Anolis sagrei: one gene and its partners. The protein of the gene in region 1 interacts with the protein of each later gene in a pairwise test. Links are inferred from orthologs where the notes say so. Each region holds a gene or a part of one and is shown on either strand. Other genes may lie near its edges.

The links.
Region 2: the proteins of KCTD9 (region 1) and SYT6 interact in binary tests that used the Homo sapiens proteins (3 or more experiments, as listed by UniProt). The two-hybrid records come from large-scale screens. The link is inferred for Anolis sagrei from reciprocal best matches to the Homo sapiens genes KCTD9 and SYT6.
Region 3: the proteins of KCTD9 (region 1) and GEM interact in binary tests that used the Homo sapiens proteins (3 or more experiments, as listed by UniProt). The two-hybrid records come from large-scale screens. The link is inferred for Anolis sagrei from reciprocal best matches to the Homo sapiens genes KCTD9 and GEM.

What each region holds. Positions count from the first base shown.
Region 1 is NC_090027.1:6,177,946-6,185,019, forward strand, and holds the start of KCTD9 (BTB/POZ domain-containing protein KCTD9), read right to left. Parts: upstream 3,011-7,074; 5' UTR 2,935-3,010; coding exon 2,887-2,934; intron 1-2,886. Other genes in the region: CDCA2 (cell division cycle-associated protein 2), read left to right, coding at 3,580-3,781. UniProt on the Homo sapiens protein: Substrate-specific adapter of a BCR (BTB-CUL3-RBX1) E3 ubiquitin-protein ligase complex, which mediates the ubiquitination of target proteins, leading to their degradation by the proteasome.
Region 2 is NC_090024.1:202,976,154-202,984,087, reverse strand, and holds the start of SYT6 (synaptotagmin-6), read left to right. Parts: upstream 1-4,918; 5' UTR 4,919-5,446; coding exon 5,447-5,588; intron 5,589-7,934.
Region 3 is NC_090024.1:34,049,102-34,056,538, forward strand, and holds the start of GEM (GTP-binding protein GEM), read left to right. Parts: upstream 1-4,421; 5' UTR 4,422-4,709; intron 4,710-6,401; 5' UTR 6,402-6,419; coding exon 6,420-6,750; intron 6,751-7,437. UniProt on the Homo sapiens protein: Could be a regulatory protein, possibly participating in receptor-mediated signal transduction at the plasma membrane. Has guanine nucleotide-binding activity but undetectable intrinsic GTPase activity.

The DNA.
Region 1 (7,074 bases):
GACCGAGGCAGTATAGTTATATTTATTTACTTACAATATTTATATGCTACCCTCACTCAGAAGAGGACTCAAAGCGGCTTACAAGTTGTATGTACATACATTACATTATATTATTAGCATACCACAATATTAGTATTATATATTACTATATTGTACTATACGACTATATTGTAATATTATTAGTAATATTATATGTAATATGAAATATAACATTATCTTGTATTACTATTGGCATTATATTGTATTACACTATAACATTTATATGTGTATACAATATATTATATTATTAGCACAGCACAATATTAATGCTATATATTACTACTAGCTGTACCTGCCACGTGTTGCTGTGGCCAACCTTCCCTCCCACTTTCTCTTCTTTCTTTCTCTCCTTCCTTCCCTCCCTTTTTTGTTTCTGTCTCTTCTTCTTCACTTTCTTCTGCCCCGCCCACCTTTTTTTTCAATTCCTCTTTCTCTCCTTTCTTCCTTCTCAACCTATTCTTGGACTGCAACTCCCAGCACTCCTCCTGATTGATTGATCTATCTACCTACCTATCTAGCTCTATCTAATCTATCTATCTGGAGGATTGCTGGGAGTTGTAGTCCAGGAATAGGAAATTGGAAATATGCAGGGATTGGGATGCTCTCAAAGAAATCCAAGGAGAAGAAAGCTTGCAACCTGGAAGCAGTGCATTTGGATCATCCTCCTCTCCTAAAGGGCCTGGTCTAGGGGATGCTGGGAACTGTAGTCCAGAAGAGAATGTGGCTATTGTGCATTTTGTTTGCCAGGGGAGTCATTTTTGCGCATGTGGTATAGCATTTTTGCTTTTTAAGTCCCTTCTTCTGTGTTTTTCAGTGTTTTTATGATAGTCACTCGTTGGCCTGATAGGCGTATTGTATCCAAATTATGTTAATCCCACAAAGGAACATTACATTTTTATTTATATACTAGCTGTACCCGCCACATGTTTCTGTGGCCGACCTTCTCTCCCTCTTTCTCTCCTTTCTTCCTTCCCTCCCTCCCTCTCTCCTTTTCTTTCCCTTCTTCTTTCTTCCTTCTCTACCTGTTTCTTTTCTCACTTCCTTTGCTCTTTGGTTCCATCCTTGTCTCTTTCCTTCCTTCCTTTCCTTCCTCTTTCTCTCTTTTGTTCCTTCTCGCCTTCCTTCTCTTTTACTTTTTTATTTCCTTCTCTCCTTCCTTCCTTCTCTACCTTTCTTTCCTTCTCTCCTTCTTTCTCTCCCTCCTTCTCTCTCTACCATTCTTTCCTTCCTTCCTTCTCTTCTTCTCTCCCTCTATCCCTCCTTCTCTACCCTTCTTTCTTTCCTTCCTTCTCTCCTTCCTTCCCCCTTTCTGTGTATGTGCTTTGTGTGTATATGCATATATGCGTGTGTATATATATCTGTGTGCATATATAGTGTGTGGATCATAATAAATTGTGGCAAGTTCTTGGTGGGATGGGCATACCAAGCCACCTTGTGTCTCTCCTGAGGAATCTGTACAAGGAACGAGTCGCAACAGTAAGAACTGACCACAGAACGACAGACTGATTCTAGATTGGGAAAGGCATACGGCAAGGCTACATCCTCTCACCCAACCTTTTTAACTTGTATGCAGAACACATCATGCGAGGATGTGCGGGGCTTGAGGAATGCAAAGCTGGGGTGAAAATTGCTGGAAGAAACATTAACAACCTCAGATATGCAGATGACACCACTCTGATGGCCGAAAGCGAGGAGGAGCTGAGGAGCCTTCTAATCAAGGTGAAAGAAGAAAGCACAAAAGCCGAGTTGCAGCTAAACATCAAAAAAACCAAGATTATGGCAACAAGAATGATTGACAACTGGGAAATAGAGGGAGAAAACGTGGAGGCCGTGACAGACTTTGTATTTCTAGGTGCAAAGATGACTGCAGATGCAGACTGTGGCCAGGAAATCAGAAGACGCTTCCTTCTTGGGAGGAGAGCAATGTCCAGTCTCGACAAAATAGTAAAGAGTAGAGACATCACACTGGCAACAAAGATCCGCCTAGTCAAAGCCATGGTCTTCCCTGTAGTCACCTACGGATGTGAGAGCTGGACCGTAGGGAAGGCTGAGCCAAGGAAGAGAGATGCTTTTGAGCTGTGGTGTTGGAGGAAAGTCCTGAGAGTGTCTTGGACTGCGAGAAGATCCAACCAGTCCATCCTCCAGGAAAGAAAGCCCGACTGCTCATTGGAGGGAAGGAGACTAGAGACAAAGCTGAAGTCCTTTGGCTACATCATGAGGAGACAGCAAAGCTTAGAGAAGACAATGATGCTGGGGAAAGTGGAAGGCAAAAGGAAGAGGGGCCGACCAAGGGCAAGATGGATGAATGGCATCCTTGAAGTGACTGGACTGACCTTGAAGGAGCTGGGGGTGGTGACGGCCAACAGGGAGCTCTGGCGTGGACTGGTCCATGAGGTCACGAAGAGTCGGAGACGACTGAACAAATGAACAACAACAACAATGGTTGTTTAGAGGCATTTTCTCCTGACGTTTTGCCTGCATCTATGGCAAGCATCCTCAGAGGTAGTGAGGTGTGGTGTATCTATATCGTACTATACCACTATACTGTAATATTAGTAATATTACATGTAATGTAAATATACATGACTATATTGTATTATTATTATTAGTATTATTATATTGTATACTGGTGATACAGGAATGAAAGTTGAGAGAGGAAAAGGGTTGAGGTCTCCATTGGATGACCTTGCCATTCCTTGAGACCTGGGCCTTCCTCACAGGGCTGTTGTGAAGTGAGGGAGACTCGTGCCTGCCACCTTAGGAGGAGGAAAGTCAGGATTAACCATGCCATTAGCAGATAACATTCCTGAAAGCAGAGCCATCACCCGCAGTTCTTGTTGAGCTCACCTTCCCATTCCTGGGGCTGCCATTCACAAACAGGGTGACTCTCTTCATCTCTTCTCCTTCTTCCCTCAGAGTGACATGCTCTTCCCCGCCTGGGTTGCAAACCCGGAAGCCGAAGTTCTTTCCCTGACTCAGCCTATTCACCAATCCGCAGCAAGCCTCGTTCTCCTTCGCCCAATAGGAACTGCGATGCACATTGTAGGCGGGACTTTCGCCTTAGAACAGCTCCAGCGGGAGCCTATCAGAGCGCAATGTTTTTCCAGCTGAGGGAGGGGCTACTTTGCATAGGGAAGAGGAGCGCCGCTTCTGATTGGTTGTTGATCCTATGACGTTGAATTACCAACGGTCGTTTGTCGGTTAACGATGTCGACGCTTCCGCGTGGCCGGCTCTCCTTGAAAAGTAGTCCCTGGGATGTGGGCGGTGCCTCTTCTCATTGGAGGAAAGACGTGGGAGAGTTTTGGTCACGTGAGACACAAAACTGGCCAGAATTCAAGGGAAGTCGGGAATAAGAATAACAAAGAGTCTTATTGGAGAAAAGGCGGAGGGATACGTAATTGCATCGCGAGGGAAGAGGCTTGTTTGAATGGAAAGCGCGAGGAAAAGGCAGTCGCTCTGAGGCGAGTGAAGGGAGAAGGTGTTTGTGTTGAAGAAGCTTTAATGAGGCCTGTTGTTGTTGTTGGCGGCTAAAGGCCACAATGGCAAGTGTGTCTACACAGCAGACAGGCGCCTCCCCGAAGGGCCCCAACGCCGTGGAAAGGCCCACTTATTGGACCCCTCGCAAGAGTGGATTAGGACCAAAACCAGGCCTTGAAAGCCCCGCGACGCCGCTAGATTTCTCTACCTTGAAAGCAGCTGATTTTGGCATTACCCCGGAGTCGTTTACAAAACAAACGGAAGGTAATGTTCCAAGAAATCTGGGTTGTTGTAGGTTTTTTCCGGGCTATATGGCCATGGTCTAGAGGCATTCTCTCCTGACGTTTCACCTGCATCTATGGCAAGCATCCTCAGAGGTAGTGAGGTCTGTTGGAACTAGGAAAAAGGGTTTATATATCTGTGGAATGACCAGGGTGGGACAAAGGACTCTTGTCTGCTGGAGCTAGGTGTGAATGTACCAGGTTTTTTTTTTTTTGGTCGTGTCAGGAGTGACTCCTGTTGTGAGAAAATTGGCCGTCTGCAAGGATGTTGCCCAGGGGACGCCTGCATGATTTTTGATGTTTTTATCACCCTTTTGGGAGGCTTCTCTCATGTCCCCGCATTAGGAGTTGGAGCTGATAGAGGGAGCTCATCCGCCTCTCCCCGGATTCAAACCTGCGACATGTCGGTCTTCAGCCCTGCCGGCACAGGGGTTTAACCCACTGCGCCACCGGGGGCTCCATAATGTTTCAATTGACCACCTTGATTAGCATATAATGGCCAGACAGTGCCTGGAGCAATCTTTTGTTGAGAGGTGATTAGATGTCCTTGTTTGTTTCCTCTCTGCTGTTGTGCTGTTGTAATTTTTGAGTTTTTTTAATACTGGTAGCCAGATTTTGTTCATTTTGATGGTTTCCTCCTTTCTGTTGAAATTGTTGAAATTGCCCAGACACGAATCAAGGAACATGAAAGGCACTGCAGACTACTTCAACCAGAGAAGTCAGCCATAGCAGAGCACCTGATGAACCAGCCTGGACACAGCAGATTATTTGAGAACACAGAAGTGCTGGACCACTCTCACAACCACCATGTCAAGCTACACAGAGAAGACATTGAAATGCACAAGCATGTGGACAATTTTAACAGAAAGGAGGAAACCATGAAAATGAACAAAATCTGGGTACCAGTACTAAAAAACTAAAATTACAACAGCACAACAACAGAGGAAACAAACAAGGACATCTAATCACCTCTCAACAAAAGTTTGCTCTAGGCACTGTCAGACCATTATGTGCTAATCACGGTGGTCAGTTGAAACATTCACACCTAGCTCCAACAGACAAGAGTTCTTTGTCCCATCCTGGTCATTCCACAGATATATAAACCTGTTTTCCTAGTTCCAACAGACCTCACAACCTCTGAGGATGTTTGCCATAGATGCAGGCGAAGCATCAGGAGGGAATGCCTCTAGAACATGGCCATACAGCCCGAGAAAACCTACAACAACCCAGTGATTCCGGCCATGAAAGCCTTCGACAATACTTTAAAGAAATCATATGGCAGTCTGTGTCGTGTGTGTTTAAGGCAGTGTTTCCCAACCTGGGGGACCTGAAGGAGTTGTCAAAGATGATTAGAAAACATTATTTTCTGTTGGTCGTTCTGTGTGGGAAGTTTGGCCCAATTCTATCGTTGGTGAGGTTCAGAATGCTCTGATTGTAGGTGAACTATAAATCCCAGCAACTACAGCTCTCAAATGTCAAGATCTATTTTACCCAAACTCCACCAGTGTTCACATTTGGGCATATTGATTATTAGTACCAAATTTGGTCCAGATCCATTTTTGAGTCCTCAATGCTCTCTGGATGTAGATGAACTATAACTCCAAAACTCAAGGTCAATGCCCACCAAACCCATCCAGTATTTTCTGTTGGTCATGGGAGTTCTATATGCCAAGTTTGGTTCATTTCCATCATTGGTGGAGTTCAGAATGCTTTTTGATTGTAGGTGAATTATAAATCCCAGCAACTACAACTCCTAAATGTAAAGTCTATTTTCCCCAAACTCCGCCAGTGTTCACATTTGGACATATTGAGTATCCATGAAAGTTTGGTTCAGATCCATCATTGTTTGAGTCCACAGTGCTCTCTGGATGAATTTGCACAACTAAAACTTGTGCGCCAGCTGCGCCCGTATCTTGGGAAGGCTGACTTGGTCACGGTATTCCACGCTTTGGTTACATCCTGTTTAGACTACTGCAACGCTTTCTACGTGGGGTTGCCTCTGAAGACTACCCGGAAGCTGCAGCAAGTACAACGTGCGGCAGCCAGATTACTAACGGGTGCTGGGTATAGGGAGCACACCACTCCGCTGTTACACCAGCTCCACTAGCTGCCAATTAGTTTCTGAGCACAATTCAAAGTGCTGGTGTTAACCTATAAAGCCCTAAACGACTCCGGCCCGGTTTACCTCTCTGAATGTATTCTCCCCTACAAACCATCAAGATTACTAAGATCGTCTGGAGGGGCCCTGCTCTCGGTCCTGCCGACTTCACATGCGTGGCTGGTGGGGACGAGGGACAGGGCCTTCTCGGTAGTGGCCCGGCAACTCTGGAACTCTCTCCCGTCAGAGGTTAGAACTGCCCCAACAATCCTGACATTCAGGAAACAGGTGAAGTCGTGGTTATGGAGGCAGGCTTTCGAAGAATGAAACAATGATCTGCATGGAAGACGGTGTATATTCGATTTTAGTATGACGACTGACCACTGTAGTTTTAAATATATGTGCTTTTTAAATGTTTTATTGCAATGTGTATTTTGATATTTTACCGATTGTATGTGTTTTTATGGTTGGAAACCGGGCTGAGTCCGTCTTATGAGGTGAGAAGCTCGGTATATAAAACTTTTAAATAAATAAACAAATATTTATTTAAAACTCAAGGTCAATGCTCACCAAACCCTTCCAGTATTTTCTGTTGGTCATGGGAGTTCTTTGTGCCAAGAGTGGTTCAATTCCATCATTGGTAGAGCTCAGAATGCTCTTTGATTGTAGATGAATTATAAATCCTATCAACTACCAAATGACAAAAACACACACACACGCAAACACACCTCTAGATTTCTGTCAGCAAATGTGAAAGCAAGACAACAAAAAGAAAGGAAAAAACAGGACAGACAGGTGGTCTGTCAAATTTGGGTGTATCAGGTATTTCTGCAATTACAACTCCCAAATGACAAAATCAATCCCCACCAGTATTCAACTTTGGGCGTATCGGGTATTTATACCAAGTTTGGTCCAGTGAATGAAAATACATCCTGCATATCAGATATTTACATTACAGTTCATAACAGTAGCAAAATGACAGTTATGTCGTAGCAACAAAAATAATGTTATGGTTGGAGGTCAACACAACATAATGAACTGTATTAAAAAAAGGCTGTGGCATTAGGAAGGTTGAGAACCACGGTTTAAGGGGTAGCCATGAATGATTTTGGAGGCATGTGTGAGTAAGCCACATAATGTTGAGTTGTAAGTTTTCTGGGCTGTATGGCCATGTTCCA
Region 2 (7,934 bases), on another chromosome or scaffold:
AAATAATTTGTAGATCACTATACAAACAATTGGTTCCTAGTCACCTTTCCCTCACATTGTCTAATACCATTGTGTTCCAGGGTGGTATGACGATTGCAGTGTTGCCCCCCACTGTACAGTTCTATCTTTTTGAAATTGAACTAACTAGGGGAATGGAACATTAGAATAGTGAAGTAAATTTCCAATTCATTCCATTATTTCAAAATAATGAAAGGCAATCATCTATTTCTCTTTACACTTTGTTTGATCCCACTTGCTACAGCAGGGACCTGAACCATTTTGCAATGTCACAGCTGAGAAGCTGCTTCAATGCAATAACTCAGGACTTTGTCACATGAAGGAGGCAAACCAACATTGAAATAGGACCATAATCAAAGGCCATTTTCATATCATTGCCAGTCACCATCTCCCCACAATTAACCTGTGCCAACTATTGATAGGAAAGCTCTGACAACAGATGCCAACCCCGTACCTTGCCAGCACTGATGTCACATCAGCAGATGATATTCTCCTTCTCTCCTACTCTTTCTCTCATTATTCCCAGACCACTAATATTTCAATTTCAGTAGTATTTCACTTTTTTAAAATTAGCCAAAGCAGAAGTGCAAGATGCAAGGGTATGTGGAAGTATAAGTGCAGGACCATGGATTGGCAAATAGATGCAATTGTGCAAATAGAGAGGTGTGTTATAATAAAGGTGCTCGTGACAATATGTAGTTGCCAGGAGTTATCGTTTGACTGCTGCTGACTTTCTGCAATTAAGTCCTAATGCAAGGTACCCCAAATAATTATTTGCAAAGAAAAGACTATTTCATAAACTGTAAATTACAATGGCATAGATAAATCAAGGAAACCAGTCACAGTATTACAGGTTCAAGGAGGTAAAGTTGGAAAAGAACTTAAATAGCTTGCTGCCATTCAAAAACAAGCTTAGTATTTCTCTAAATGTTTTGGCTTTTCCAGTGAAAACAAAATATAACATTATTGGCAATATATAATACATCATGTGCACCAATAAGTGTCTTACAAGTCATAAAAAACAGTAAAAGTTGTGGCTTGGGAAAAGCCAATTGAGGAAATGTATCCTAACAAGAGGTTTGTATCTTCAGTGCTAATTCTAATTAAAAGTGGCAGGAAATACATCTAGTTTTTGTTTTTCCTGTATTTAGCTGACCAAGAGCAAGCAGCATTGTCTTGTACATTTATTATCATTTAAAGGTGAATGACTAGCCATTAACTATTTGATAGACAAGACTGAAAAGGAGGAAGAGCTAAATATTGTTGTCATGGCAAAAGACAATGTCTATACATAACAAGCCTGACTAAACTTTATTAGCTACTAAAATAGAATTGGCACACTGTCTGATAAAGGAAATGTGATTTTACAAACATACGACACATGCAGACTGATTTAAATGACCAGAAGATTGGTCTCTCATTTCAGATTTTATTTTGGAGACCACATCCATTTTGATCACATATTTAAGTAGCAATTTTAATAATACAAAACAAACAGAAATAACATACATAACAAAATAACTTTAAACCACAACTGTAGATAACTATAAATGATACAACTACAGTAGGAAAATAGAGTTGTCAATAGCTCCCCCTCCCCACCACCAAATGGCAAGGTTTACTAAGTGTGTAGCACCAAAATTTCAAGACAAATGCCTTTTTTGGAAACCTGCTGTCTTCCAATAGTCCTTTTGTTTCAGATTGTAAATCAATGGGAAAGAACTATTGATATAAATTCCTGAATCTCAGTTTGGATTTGGGAAATGAATCAGAATGGATTGGGTCCGGATCAATCTGAAATGAATTGGGCCTAGATCCAAATCACAAAATTTGCATTGAAATGATGGTGTCTGCCTCCAGCCCTAACAGAAAATAGTCTTATTCTCATCTCCCTTTCCCTAGGAGCATACAGTTTCTGGATTGCATATTGCTTTGTGAATATGTCAACTATAACTGTCTTTTCTGAAAAATAGACCGGGTTATGTCAGCTGCTTTCATTGTGATGTAAATGCTTCAAAAACCCTTTAACTTTCTTTTGTTCCCAGTTCATTTTCCTTCAATCACCCTGAGATCCCTGACCCGTGTAGCATTTAGTCATCTACAAGCAAGAGGTCAATGTATATCATTGAGAGAGAATTACAAACCCTCAGCCAGGCAGACAAGATGCTTTATTCCCTCACATTCATATTTTATTGCAGAAGTCACAAAGAACTAAACCTCAAGATAGGATTTTATGCCACTGCCCCCTGAAGAATTGTAAAGAATCTCCCAAAATTTCAGCCACAGGTAGTTTTGCTGTACAAAAAGAGGGCTGACATTTATGCAAAACATATTTTCCACCTCATGTGAATGTGTACTTTTTGGCTCTGTGTTTGGTATTAATGAAAACTGTGGAAATGTGTTTGTGTATTGTGGAGTACCTTTGGTTTTGCCTCTAAAACACTTTTATGGACATGGGACATTTTCAGATCCCACGATAGATGGGGATTCTCATTGTGGTGCAAAAGGCTTTCAATCAATGAAGGATAAAAATGTCACCCATGAACTAATTTTACCTGTGACTCTTGTAGCAACGGTGTTGACCTTAACACTCATCTGGAGGAAGGTGAGCAAGCAAGAGGAGGAAAATATAAGATATATTTGGGCCAGACTTGTGGTAATGACTGGCAGAATTTAGGGTAGACTGATTTGACATTTGATGCTTGGAGAGCTCGCTTAGTTGCCAATTCTATTTTTTCAAAGGAGGATCTAGGAGCTGATCACATTAGGATTGTACTTCATTTATATCAGTATGAATTTTGTATTTTTTAAAGGACGAGATGCATACTGTATTCAGATGGGATGCATACTGCCCCATCACACCCAGTTCTTACATTTTGAAAATACTGCACTTTGATTGATCACACCTTGGAAGGATGGCTCCTCCCAATCCATTCAAATGCCTCCTTTTGTCACTTAAAAAATTCTTCTAATATTGTGCAGTGACAGCCTGGAAGTCTCAAACTACTGTTCTCATGAGATTTTAGATGACAGAATGCATACTGATTTTATGATCACAAGTAAAAACAGTTTCAGAGCCATATTATTATTATTATTTTAAAAAAAACCCGATTAGAATCCTGTGTGCAATTATTCCATTTTTGCAACATTTTGCAGAGAGATCTTGATGGATTACTGATGGAATGGGACAAACACCATTTCAGAATCATGTTCAAGGAGTCTCAGAAATGGAGTATATTCCCTTGCAATAAGGTCCTTAATCTTGAAATATTGTAGTTCAGTAATAAAGAAATTAGTTCTAATGCATTTGTAAAAGATATCTGACCCATACCATACACTAAAGGCTACAATACAAAACTTTATGATGACAGTGCTATGCGACTTAGATCACAATCTGCAATCATGTCAGTTCATTGCCATGATGTTCATCAGGCACTATGAAGGATGTCCCATTGTAAAACAGGGGCTTCAGTTTCACAATAGGATGTATTGTCCATCAGGATATGTTCTATACCAGGGCAGGTTGCACATCAGGACATGGGACATGTGCATTGGCACACAACATTGTGCAACATGGCTTGTGGTGTATTGGCCCATGTTCTACACCAGCACTGTCTTGAGCAATGACCATACTGCTGGCTGCACTTGTGCAGTGAGCCTGACAATACAGTTATGTCTCCTCTCCCCCACCTGAGAATACAAAAGATGTATGACTGTACATTGGCTTAGTTCCAAACAGGATGTCGTCCATCTATCGATCTGTTTATCTTAGCATCAGCTTACCTTAGTCCACATTTTGTTAGTTAGTTTCCTTTTGTTGTGTGATTTGTTAGTGGGTGGTAAAAATAGCCAGGTTTGATTGCTCAGCACAATAAGTCCATACATCTCAGCCATGGCCATTTTACACGTACATTTTGGGAAAGGATAGATGAACAAGAACTTGAAAAGCTAAGACAGAAGCTTGAATAGTTACTACCTTGTTTCTTGTATAATCCATTGACATTGCAACTAAAGATATGAAGGGAAAAGCAAGAGTGGCAGGAATTATACCACAGAATCCTACAAAAGCCGTACAAACTAACAATGAAGTTACAGGCGACGTGGAATTTTGAAATTAATGCTGAAAGTACAAAATAGCAGATATGCATAAGTTTCTCTCCTCAGCGTCTTTACTCTATTCATATGTTTATAAGGCTCTGCTAATTCCTCCTTTAGTCTTCTGTTTCTTTTTAACTATTTGACTCTTCTAATCTCCCTCTCCGTTTTTGTCTTTTCTCTCTGCCCTTTGAAGTAAGCAAAATACTATTGAGAGGCCATAGCCAAGCTTTCTTCATCTATTTGTGACTTTTTTTAGGCAACAATGATATTCAAGTTCCACCTATCTGGAATTAGAACATGCTATTATTTTACACTAATTCATCATGATCCTGTAAAATTACGTTAACGGGTAATTATCTGACACTATATGTTCATTAGCATTGTTCCACACACCCACTTACTTATGATCCATGAGAACAAGGCTGCAGCCCCCTTATCATCTCTTATGTTGTTAGACTTGCTTCTTCTTCCTCCTCCTCTCTTCCACTCCAGAATTCATTTCTACTGAGTATTGTTCTAATTGCCCATTATGGGATCATTGCTCATGCCTGACAATTGGCACTTCCTCTACGTGCAGATTGGTTGCACAGCCTGATCTGGCAGTGGGAGCCCAGAAGTGGTACTGTAAATTAAAACAATGATCTAATTACTGAGCACAAAACAGGGCTGGCGCCCTATTAGCAATCTGCAGTTTAGCATGTTAGGGCTGAAATAAGCCAATAAATAAAACCTGTTCCCTCCCTTGTGCTGAAAACAGCATGTCTAGTAACCAATGGTGTTGCTCAGCTTCAGCTCTGTGTTGTGACAAGCTGTTTTGCTGCGCTGGAGGATTTCAATGCTCTCTCTCCCGCCACCCCACCTTGCATGAGCTCCAGAGAGAGCTTTACTGCTTCGTACAAGTCCCTGGCAATGCCTCTTCCACCACCACCTGGAAGGGAAGGCACAGCAATGAAGAGGTTAAAGAGCTTCTTTGGAATTTGGCTTTGAAAACTATGCAAGGAGGGAGTCAAAGTGAATTGGAGAGGAGGAACCTTGTGCAGCACACGTCTTGGCAGTAAATACAGCTCTCTGATATCGGATGCAACAAGGCAATCACAAGGTGCCGGTAGCAAGTGGTGGTTTGTTGAAAGTGGCATCAAGGTGGCACAGGCTCAGCCCAGAACTCAGCGTATATCTTCCAAGAGTGGCCTTCAGGGCGGTGAGGTGCCTGAATGACCCCAGGCAGTAGTGGATTCCTAGATTGTGTGACACTGTGAGTGTGCTGCTGTTATTCCACTGGAATCTCTCCTAGTCAGCCAGGTAGGAGGCAAAGGGAGATGCAGCTTGGGAAATGACCGCCACGAAAGAGGAAATCCACTGTCAGACAGCAGCTCGGATTGTCACGGACTTGTGCCGCAAGAAAAGCCTACCTCAGTTGGACCCAGATACCTGCAAGCAGTTCATCTTCCCAGACCTGAGTAATCCTGAGCCAGGTACAGTGCCCCCTGTTCTGTAGGGGAGGGCTTTCCTATTAATTGCCTAAAGAGACTGTGGGAGAAGAGGTCTGGCCCCCCTCCTTTCCTTTCAAAAGGGATGAGCCTTGTTCAAATCTCCTCCTTTATCCCTTGATTATATAGACATTTGCCTTCATCTTATTCTGTCCCTTGTAGCTGCATGTTGTTGGAAAGTTGGATGAAACCTGTTGAAAGCTGCAAGTTTTTGTAAGGAAGGCAAGCAAGGATAGAAGTGGGAAGAGTATGTGAAGAGGACATAGTTTAAAGCCAGGAGCAGGGGGATGTTGTTTCTGGTATTGAGGTTTTGGATTTTCATCATCTCTGTACTTCCAAAACCTTTGTCAGGGAATTGTGCCCCAACAAATTCACCTACATTTTTGTAAGGTTCAGTGTCTAGTCAAAAGTAAAATCACCTTAAAAAGAACTGGAGGGCAGCAGGAGGGTAATGGTAGAGTAATAGTTGAAATACTTTCTCCCTGTTTAAAAAGTGTAAGAAGAGAATTAATCTGAGGAAGTTATTAAATGTGAAAATAGAACTAAATTGAGATCACGTGTACTTTGTGTGTGTGTTTGAAAAGGGCATCTGTGTATTTGACTACTCAATGTTAATGTAAATAGAAGTATTGTTTACAATTATCTGAGCATCCCGCCATGGAAGAAATAGAGTGCCTTGCTAATTCTAAATACTCATTTCCATCAGATGATGGAACTGAGCACAGCTTTACAAAATTTGTGATGGTGAAAACAGGGGGTTTCTTTTTTAACTCCATGTCAGACTGTAGTGTTATTCCATGTCTGGATATTCTTTCAAACCAAGAATAGAAAGCCATTTCACAGCTTGCTTCAGGATTTATAGCAGAAGATATAGATGCCACATCATTAATGGTATTTAGCTGTGACAGGTAAAGGCGAGGAAACATTCCTCATTATTGGGATCCTTGAGGCAGAAAACTGTTATCTTGATGTCATGCCCTGTTTGTGATTTGTCTGAGAGGTTATTGGCCATCCACTTTTGAGAATGTAATGAAGTCTGATCCAGCAACTGCCATCCAGTAGGGTTTATCTTACATTCCGCACACAATAGTTTCTCAGTTGCACTGTAGATTTTCTTCTGTGATCTATATATTTTATTGCAATAATGGCTATTCACCTTAGAGGACCAGGGAGAGTTCTGTGCCATCTCTATGTACAAAGATACAGATGTCTATGCTTGTTGAGCATATGTTCCAATAAAATTTGAACATAGTTCTGCATGAGAGTTCAGTTATTGAAATTGCCTTCACTGTGCCCTTAAGAAAGATTTGCTTTGCAACTATCAGAGTCTGACTTTTCAGCCATAAGGCAAAAAGGATATCTTTTATTGCTTCATGGATTATTACAGTTTTTTTCTAATGTGCCAACAAAACATTTACAGCCTTTGACACAGATCTGAATCCCTGTAACCTACTGAGAACAAATTGAATAGAGAGGGTGGGGAGAAGAGGTAGACTCATGTTTGTTACTGACTGAAAACCCTGATCCTAGATGGGTAGAGTACTTGCAGCTGCGTTTGACTCACTCATGAAGGATTTGGGCTCTGCTGATACCAAACTGCCTTTGTCCTCTTTGAAAAGTGTAGAGTAATAATAGAATTGAACATCAGCATTCAGAAGGGCTGCTGAGATGGAGCCTTGATGCCAATAAATCCTGTTCATGAAGCATCAGAATGTGTTGTGGTAAATGTTTAAAAGCTTTCTCTGGAACAGTTTTTTTTCCAATAAAAGAAGTTGGGAGAACTTTACAAACTTTATATTTCTGACTTGCACACCTAAACCCTTTTTCTCATGGATTGCTCTGGATCATTGCAGACTGCCGGCTATCAGGATGGCTGCTGTGATTTCAGCAGGAATAACCTGATTTCTGAAGCTTATGCTGGACCTAGCAATGCCATTTCCTGAGAGCAAAAAGTCGACCTGCTGTTACTGACATAGAACAATGTCCTAATTTAGATAAGCCCCTTGCCAAATGTTCCACGTGTGATTTGCTAGGGATGAATCATCATTACCTGTGTCAGAATATCAACTTGTTCTGCTTACTATAGTCTGGCAAATTACAAATCCAATGTCATTCTTTTTGAAAGTTATGTATATATTTTATTTTTAAGATTCATTAATTGCTTTTTAGCCAACACTTTATAGCAATCTCTGTTACCACAGCAGTGTCTCAGATTTGGGGGTGGAGCAATTTCCCAGGCTCCCTGATACTTCAGAGTATTCCAAACTGAGCTGAGAGAAGTTTTCCATCACTGGTTGTTTTCCTGCTTTGTTGAGTAGAAATACAATAATC
Region 3 (7,437 bases), on another chromosome or scaffold:
TGGATGTAAAATTATCAAAATTAAATAACAAGACTAACATATCTAAGATGCTACCTCACAGGTGGCTGCTCTTATCGCTTTTGGCAAAGCGTTCCAAGCTTTTGGTGCCGTGCCCAAGAATGTGCCATTTCTAGCCAATGTTAAGTGACAGCTGAGTGGAGAAGAACTGAGTGGAGAAGAACGTTACATTACTTGATCTTAATAATCTACCCGGCTTGTATAGTAGGAAACTATGTCTCAAATATCCTGGACTGAAACCATGTACGGTTTCATAGGTTACAAGCAGCACCTTAAATTGAGCCCAGAAGGTAATTGAGAGTCAGCGGAGCTGTCTCAGCAGCGAGATGTTGTGCTCCCTGGAGTCAGCTCCAATGAGGTATTTAGCTGCCATTTGCTTGACAAATGGCAGTTTCTAGAAACTTTTTAAGGGCACATAGAACGCGTTGCAGTAGTCCAAACGGGATATAACCAGTGTGTGTACTACCATGGCCAAGTCAGATTTCTCCAGAAATGGCATACAAGTTTTAATTTTGCAAAGGCAGCCCTGGCCACCACCACACTACCTGTGCTTCCAGATGTAAGGTGGAGTCCAGAACCACTTCCAAACTGCAAACCTGAGATTTCAGGGGGAGAGTAACCCCGTCCAGCTCAAGTTGCAACCTTATCTCCAGATCGATCTTCCGCGAGACCTGCAGTACTTCTGTTTCATCTGGATGAAGCTTCAATTTGTTTGTCCTTATCCAGTCCATTACCACCCTCAGGCAATGGTTCAGATGATCTCTCCCAACAGTTTCTGGTAGATGTTAAACAACATTGGGGATAATGATGAGCCCAGGGGCTATGGAATTGAGCAGGACTCCCCCAACACCACCTTCTGGAGATGACCCAAGAGGAAGGACCAGAACCACTGCAATACAGTGCCTCAAAGTCCCATCCCCACCAGGCTTTCTAGAAGGATACCATGGTTGATGGTATTGAATGCCACTGAGAGGTCTAGCGAGACCAGCATCATCACACTCCCCTTGTCTAGTTCCCCTAGTAGATCATCCACCAAGGCGACCAAAGCTGTTTCCATCCCATGCCCTGGCCTGAAGCCGGATTGAAATGGATTAAAAAAATCAGCATCCTCCAAAAATCTTTTGAGGACATGTTGCTTATTTTCATTGACAGCAAGGTAAATATATCGAGGATGATTCGAAGTAAGGCCAATAGGTTCCAGGTGTGAACCATGGCATTTTCATGTATGACAGAGAAGGAATCCTGGGTAACATTTTAGAGGGCTCATGTCTGTCAATGTACAGAATATTGATCTACTTGGACCAATAGTCTAACTCAGTTTAATACGGCTTCGTTTTTCTCTATGTAATGCCTTGCTTCTATAGTTCCCACATTTTCTATTGGGTGGTATAGCACTTCTGAACAAGGAAATGCCATTTAGCTACCATGATGTGTGGCTATATTGTTTGGCAATTCTGGAAGTCGTAGCCTGAAACCTCAGCCTTTTTGTAACTCATGATTGTAAACCACTAGATTATTCTGCCAGGAAGGGTTCTGCTTAAGACCAAGGGGGAAAAGGATCGATTGAATAAGAGCTAAATGTACACAAACTTCTAATTCCAGAACACAGTGGTCCAGTCAGGCTGCCATGAAAAACCACCTGCAACATCAAAAGCAAAGCCCACTAAACTACCAAGTTGGGTAAAAAAACCAAGTGTTCCCTAAGTATCTAATTAGTCTTTGTGCTCAGCAACACCAAATTAATTCTAAAAGGGTTTTTTTTTAATGAAAGGTCAACTCTTACAGTATTGCATGGCTGATTTTAAAAGAAAATTAGTGGGTTCATATACTACACATATGTTTGCAATACATAGAATAAAACTCATTTGATCATAAAAATGACTGTTGGTACTTATCATTGGGGGGAATGGTGTTCAGTTTGGCTCTGTAATAAATTTACTTTGTTTTGCTGCTTTGAATCATACAGAGATGATCTGAGAGTGCCTTCCCTCAACATATTTGCTCTTTCTGTTCTAGATTATGTGGTGGATGGATGGGTGGTTTAGCTCCCCAAAATGGCATTTGTATTCAATGTTCAAGTTGCATTTAACATGCTGACTAAACCTGCACTACAAGGTTATTTTACTTTTGTATCAGTTTAATTGCCATGGCTTCCCCCAAGGAATCTTGGGAATGGAAGTTTGGTGAAGCTGCTAAAAATTCTCTATGAGACACTTCATAATATAAGTAGGAATGACTTACACCAGATGAAATCATGATTGCAAATTGGATTGGGTGAATCATGCTGCCCTCCTAGTTATTACTGAACTATAACTCTAGTCAGCATGGATAGTGTTAAGGGATTCTGAGAGATGTAGTCCAAAATACTTGAACTCAAAGTGATAGTCCACAGGCTGATGCCAACCCAAGAACCATCATCTTCTGATCCATGGTGAGTTTCCAAGAAAGAAGAAAACAGTTGTAGCCAATGGATCCAAATATGGCATCAGTCTCTGACCCATTCGGAAAACAAAACATTGCTGGACATCTACATCAGACAGCCTGAGAAACATTTATATTGAAGGCTATATAATTCTCATCCCTGGTGTAACTATCGCTTAACTTATGCTGACCCTAATGTAATACTATCATGACATTTTTGGCAGCCAAGGGTGTGACTTGCCCTAGGTCACCTGGTGGGCTTCCATGACCAAGTGGGAAATTGAACCAATGCTCAAACCATACATCACACCAGAAATCTCTATAAAAATAGTTATGTAGGATGCCTGTGGACTTACAGCAATTCAATTAATTTCATAGAATTTTTCCAGGCAAGGAATACTCAGAGGTGGCTTGCCATTGAACCCCTCTGAAATATAGTCTGCAGCACCTGGTATTCATTGAGAGCCTCCTACACAAGTACTACTTACCAGTCCTGATCTTGTTTAGCATTCTGAATCAGATGGGATAAACTATAGAATCATAGAAACATAGAATCATAGAGTTGGAAGAGACCTCATGGGCCATCCAGTCCAACTCCCTGCCAAGAAGCAGGAAAGTCGCATTCAAAGCACCCCTGACAGATGGCCATCCAGCCTCAGTTCAAAACCTCCAAAGAAGGAGCCTCCACCACACTCCGGGGCAGAGAGTTCCACTGCCAAACAGCCCTCACAGTTAGGAAGTTCATCCTTATTTTCAGGTGGAATCCCCTTTCTTTTAGTTTGAAGCCATTGTTCTGCATCCTAGTCTCCAGGACAACAGAAAACAAGTTTGCTCCCTCCTCCCTATGACCTCTCCTCACATATTTATACATAGCCATCATGTCTCCTCTTAGCCTTTTCTTCTGCAGGCTAAACATGCCCAGCTCTTATATAAAAAGTGATTCATTGCAACATTCTAATGGATTGCTAATGGTAAATTATTGGGGATCCCAGAGCTGTTTTTAAGGTGGGGGATCTCAACCTTGACAATCACACTATTAGTAATTTTGCCTATTTACAGGGAAAGGGCAATTACTTTGCCCATCCGGTATCACCCAAATAGCCTTAAATATGAAGACTCTTACAAGCACAGTGTGCACTGAGAAGTGCCCTGCTCTCAGTGCCAGATTTACTATTGTGCCTAGATGTGCTTAAGCACAGGGTACCATTGGCTGGGGGGAGGGACACATCTCCCCCCCCCCCTTCCCCAAATTTGATATGATGGATTTTGCTTATGTGGTGCACTTCTGCATTTGAAAGAGTTCTGTTTCAGAGAGATTCCAGATATAATAGAGATGATCGTCTATGGGAGTGTGCCACAAAGCAGGCAGTGTAGGGCTACTGGATCTCCCTCCTTCAGGGCCCAAGTCAGGGGCCCCATAACTTAACTATCACAGAGCCTCATTTGTCTTAAATCCAGCTCTGCCTGCCCTCCATATGCTCAGTGTCACTTACTTCCAAGTAAGTAAGCAGGATAAATCGCCAGCAGCCTTTATTATTCCTGGAAAAGCTCAGCAACAATAGCTGCCTTCATGTTTCTTAGGGCTTGACCTTTTAGGACACTTCTGGTTAGTAATTCCTGACGAGTCAGCTGTGTAGGAGCCTTTGTGATCCTCTTTCGACAGATCAACTGTGAGGGAAGGCTCGAACCCCAATTCTCTCCCCACAGTTCCTGGATCCATGGTAGGCTGGGCTATTATTTATCTATTATTTCCCACTATAGCCTGGCATTTCAATTGATTGCTTCCTGTGTTTATGAATCCAAAGTAATATTGAAGGACTGCTCATTCAACAGCACTTTAGCAGAAAGGAAAGGAGTTACGAAATATAGTTTGGCTACTTTTCTGCTGGTGCCCTTGTGGAACCGAGTGGGCAGTCCACTTACCAGCATTAGAAGCAGAAGAAAAGAATGCCTGCCTGCCTGCGAATGAATTTATTTTGCTATCACTGGTAGCTCTCCCTCCCTTTCCCTTGCATGCCTGCTTCCGTCCAGCTGAGGGCTGCCTGTTGAAGGGACAGGCCAACGACGTCACGGAAAAGCCCTGTCTCTGATCAGATGGGCTTAATATAAACCAGGTTTGCTGAGAAAGAATTAGAGAGGCAGGCGGCCCCAGAGACCGAGGAAGGATTTTCCGTGGGAGACTGGTTCAAGATCCACCAACTCTCTGACAAAGGGAGTGAGACCAAGAGTGTTGACTCTGGTTGAGACAGGAGATTCTGAAAGACAGCAAGGTAGTATTGGTTTCACAAGACTTCATTTGACTACTTGTCTTCAGCGTTGTAGGCATGGAAATTGATAACGGGGAAATGTAGAGCGATAGAGAGCTTGAAGTTTGCAGCCGATCTAACTTTATTTCCTTGATAGCAATCATCAGCACTATTTAGCAGTATAGAGAAGCAAACAACAAAGTCTGCATGCTATGTGAATTAAGTCAAAGGCATGCTAGTGTGTTGTTCTCGTCCATACTACCTAGAGGAAGGTTGTTAATAGTGTGAGAGTGTGTCACTTATACAGAGATGAGTTGTGTATCATCTATAGTTCTACAGATTGATAGGAGCTGAATAAAAAAGGACCTGTCTCATTTTGTACAGTAGATAGTATTGTGTGAGCATCCCATTACTTTTTTGCTCAAATGAGGGTAAAAGTTGGTGTTTTTGCCGGTAGTGGCAGAAGATGCAGAAAAATACATGCTTTGAATTTGAAATAATCTAAAGCAGAATTTTCTGCTTTCCTTTGCAATATATTTGTTTCACAGCCTCTCTTTGAAATTCCCTTTTTCTGAATGACACACAGAGTTTGAAAAACTTGCAGACCCATCTGTATGTTAACTTTAAAAACTTACCTCAGATCTCTCTCTCTCTCGTTCCTTCCCTAGTAAATGCTTTGTTTGTTAGATAGAGAGATGAGAAGTGAACTAAGAAAGTTCAGGCTTCAACATGAATAAGCAAAATGTCTAAATAACTGTCATGTTGGGAGCTGGAGAGCATCAAAGCAACTTTCCTTAAAATGGTAGCTGCCGATGATACTGGCCACCAGGAATTACCTCACAACATTGCCTCCCTCCAGTGCCAAATATTTCTTTCCAGAAGTTGTACAAGCCATCTTTAGAGAAGGGGAAAGTACTCAGATCACTGGTTTTAAAACCTTTCCAAGTAATTAGCCTTTTTAAAAAACTTAATAACATCTGTTGTCCTTGCTCCTTTGGAATGTTTCCTTTTCCTCATTACAAGACTTTGGACCCGACACTTTTAGGGAGCTGAAAATAAGGGACTCAGGTATACAATGTTAACTAAAATGATGGAAAAACCAAAGGGTATTTCTTATAGGTATTATTAGCTACTTGCAGAACAGTATCCAGTATTAACCACCCAAAACTGCAAAGCTTGGAAAAGTACTTTTTGGAGTATAGTTACCAGAATCCCTCAGCTGGAATTAATAGTCCAAACATGTAACTTTGGAGCCCTATAATATCATATGCATCTGTAAATGCACAAGGGTTTTAATTTTCAGTCTGCGTACATTGGAATTTAATTGCATCCTGTGGGATATAAATGTATAACAACAACAGCTACTTTTCTAAGCTCTGTGCTTGTGAAAAATTAATGTCATAATTCAGGGATTCTAGAATTTATTATTTGGTGGGGGTACTTAGAATTATCTCCAGATACTTTCAACCATAGAGTAAATCTTTGGTAAACTCCAGTATGAGTACATCATTATCCCCCAACTTTCAGAACAAGAATTGCCCCTTCACTGGAGGAACGTTTCACAGTTTGTGGACTGTTTTCTTAATTGTGCCACTGGAGATATGACTGCTGAGATTACCACATTTCAAGAACACACAAGAAGGTAGCCAGCCTTTTCACAGCCATGTTGTCATGAGTAATGTTTGTTATTCCATGGTTCTTCTTTTTTTAAACCAGGAAAAGGGGACAAAAGCCATGACTCTGAACAATGTCACGATGCGTCACAACAGTAGTGCCTTGCAATCCCAGCAGCAGCGCTGGAGCATCCCAGCAGACGCAAGGCATTTGGTGGTCCAGAGAGACCCCCATGAGTCCAACCAACAGAAAAGGTACACCATCAACCCTGAAGAGTATTACCGAAGGAGCTGGTCATCGGAGTCTTCCGATTCCGTCATCTCATCTGAATCGGGAAATAGCTACTACCGAGTGGTCCTTATAGGGGAACAAGGAGTCGGCAAAACAACTATTGCCAACATCTTTGCAGGTGTTCACGACAGCATGGACAGTGACTGTGAAGTGCTAGGAGGTAGGTCATGCAGTTCCACCTTGCCAAGGGTTTTTTCAAACCCGTTGTGTAAGCAGTGATTAGTGTTAAGTAACAGAGAAAGGCAGGAGCTTCCAGCACATACGTGAGAGGGATTCCCTTCGTTGTTGTTCTTCTTCAGGATGATTTCATCATGTGGGTGCCTTCTATAATTTCACATTGTGATGGCAGTAGAGTGATCTAACAAATCAGATATTTTCCTGTCAGAGTTTTAATGGTAGTACCTAGCAGTGAGGCCATGAGGAGTGACGTTTTGGCAAATAAACACATACAGTCACTACTTGGATATGAAAAAGAGGTCGCAACCTTTATTAGTCACAGTTGCAATAGTCCTGGCCCAGATGAGATCCATTCTCTCAACGTTTCACCAATGAAACCAGGATATGTGTTTCTAAGCAACACCAGAGTGTAGTCAAGGTGGCAAACATGGTGAACATTCAGGCTGAGCAAGGATGCTGCAGTTTGCTTTTCTCTGAGCCTACAGGGAAGAGCAAAATTCTACCCTTTCCTATCCCCTGCATCCCACCCTGAGTTTATTGAATGTAAACAATTCAGTTTCCAGCTAAGTTTGAAATAAGCGGAAGATTAAAAAGGAAAATGGATGAAGGATAGAGAAACTGGGACATTTTAAAAGATGTTAAAAAGTGGCAGAAAATTAAATGGGATTGT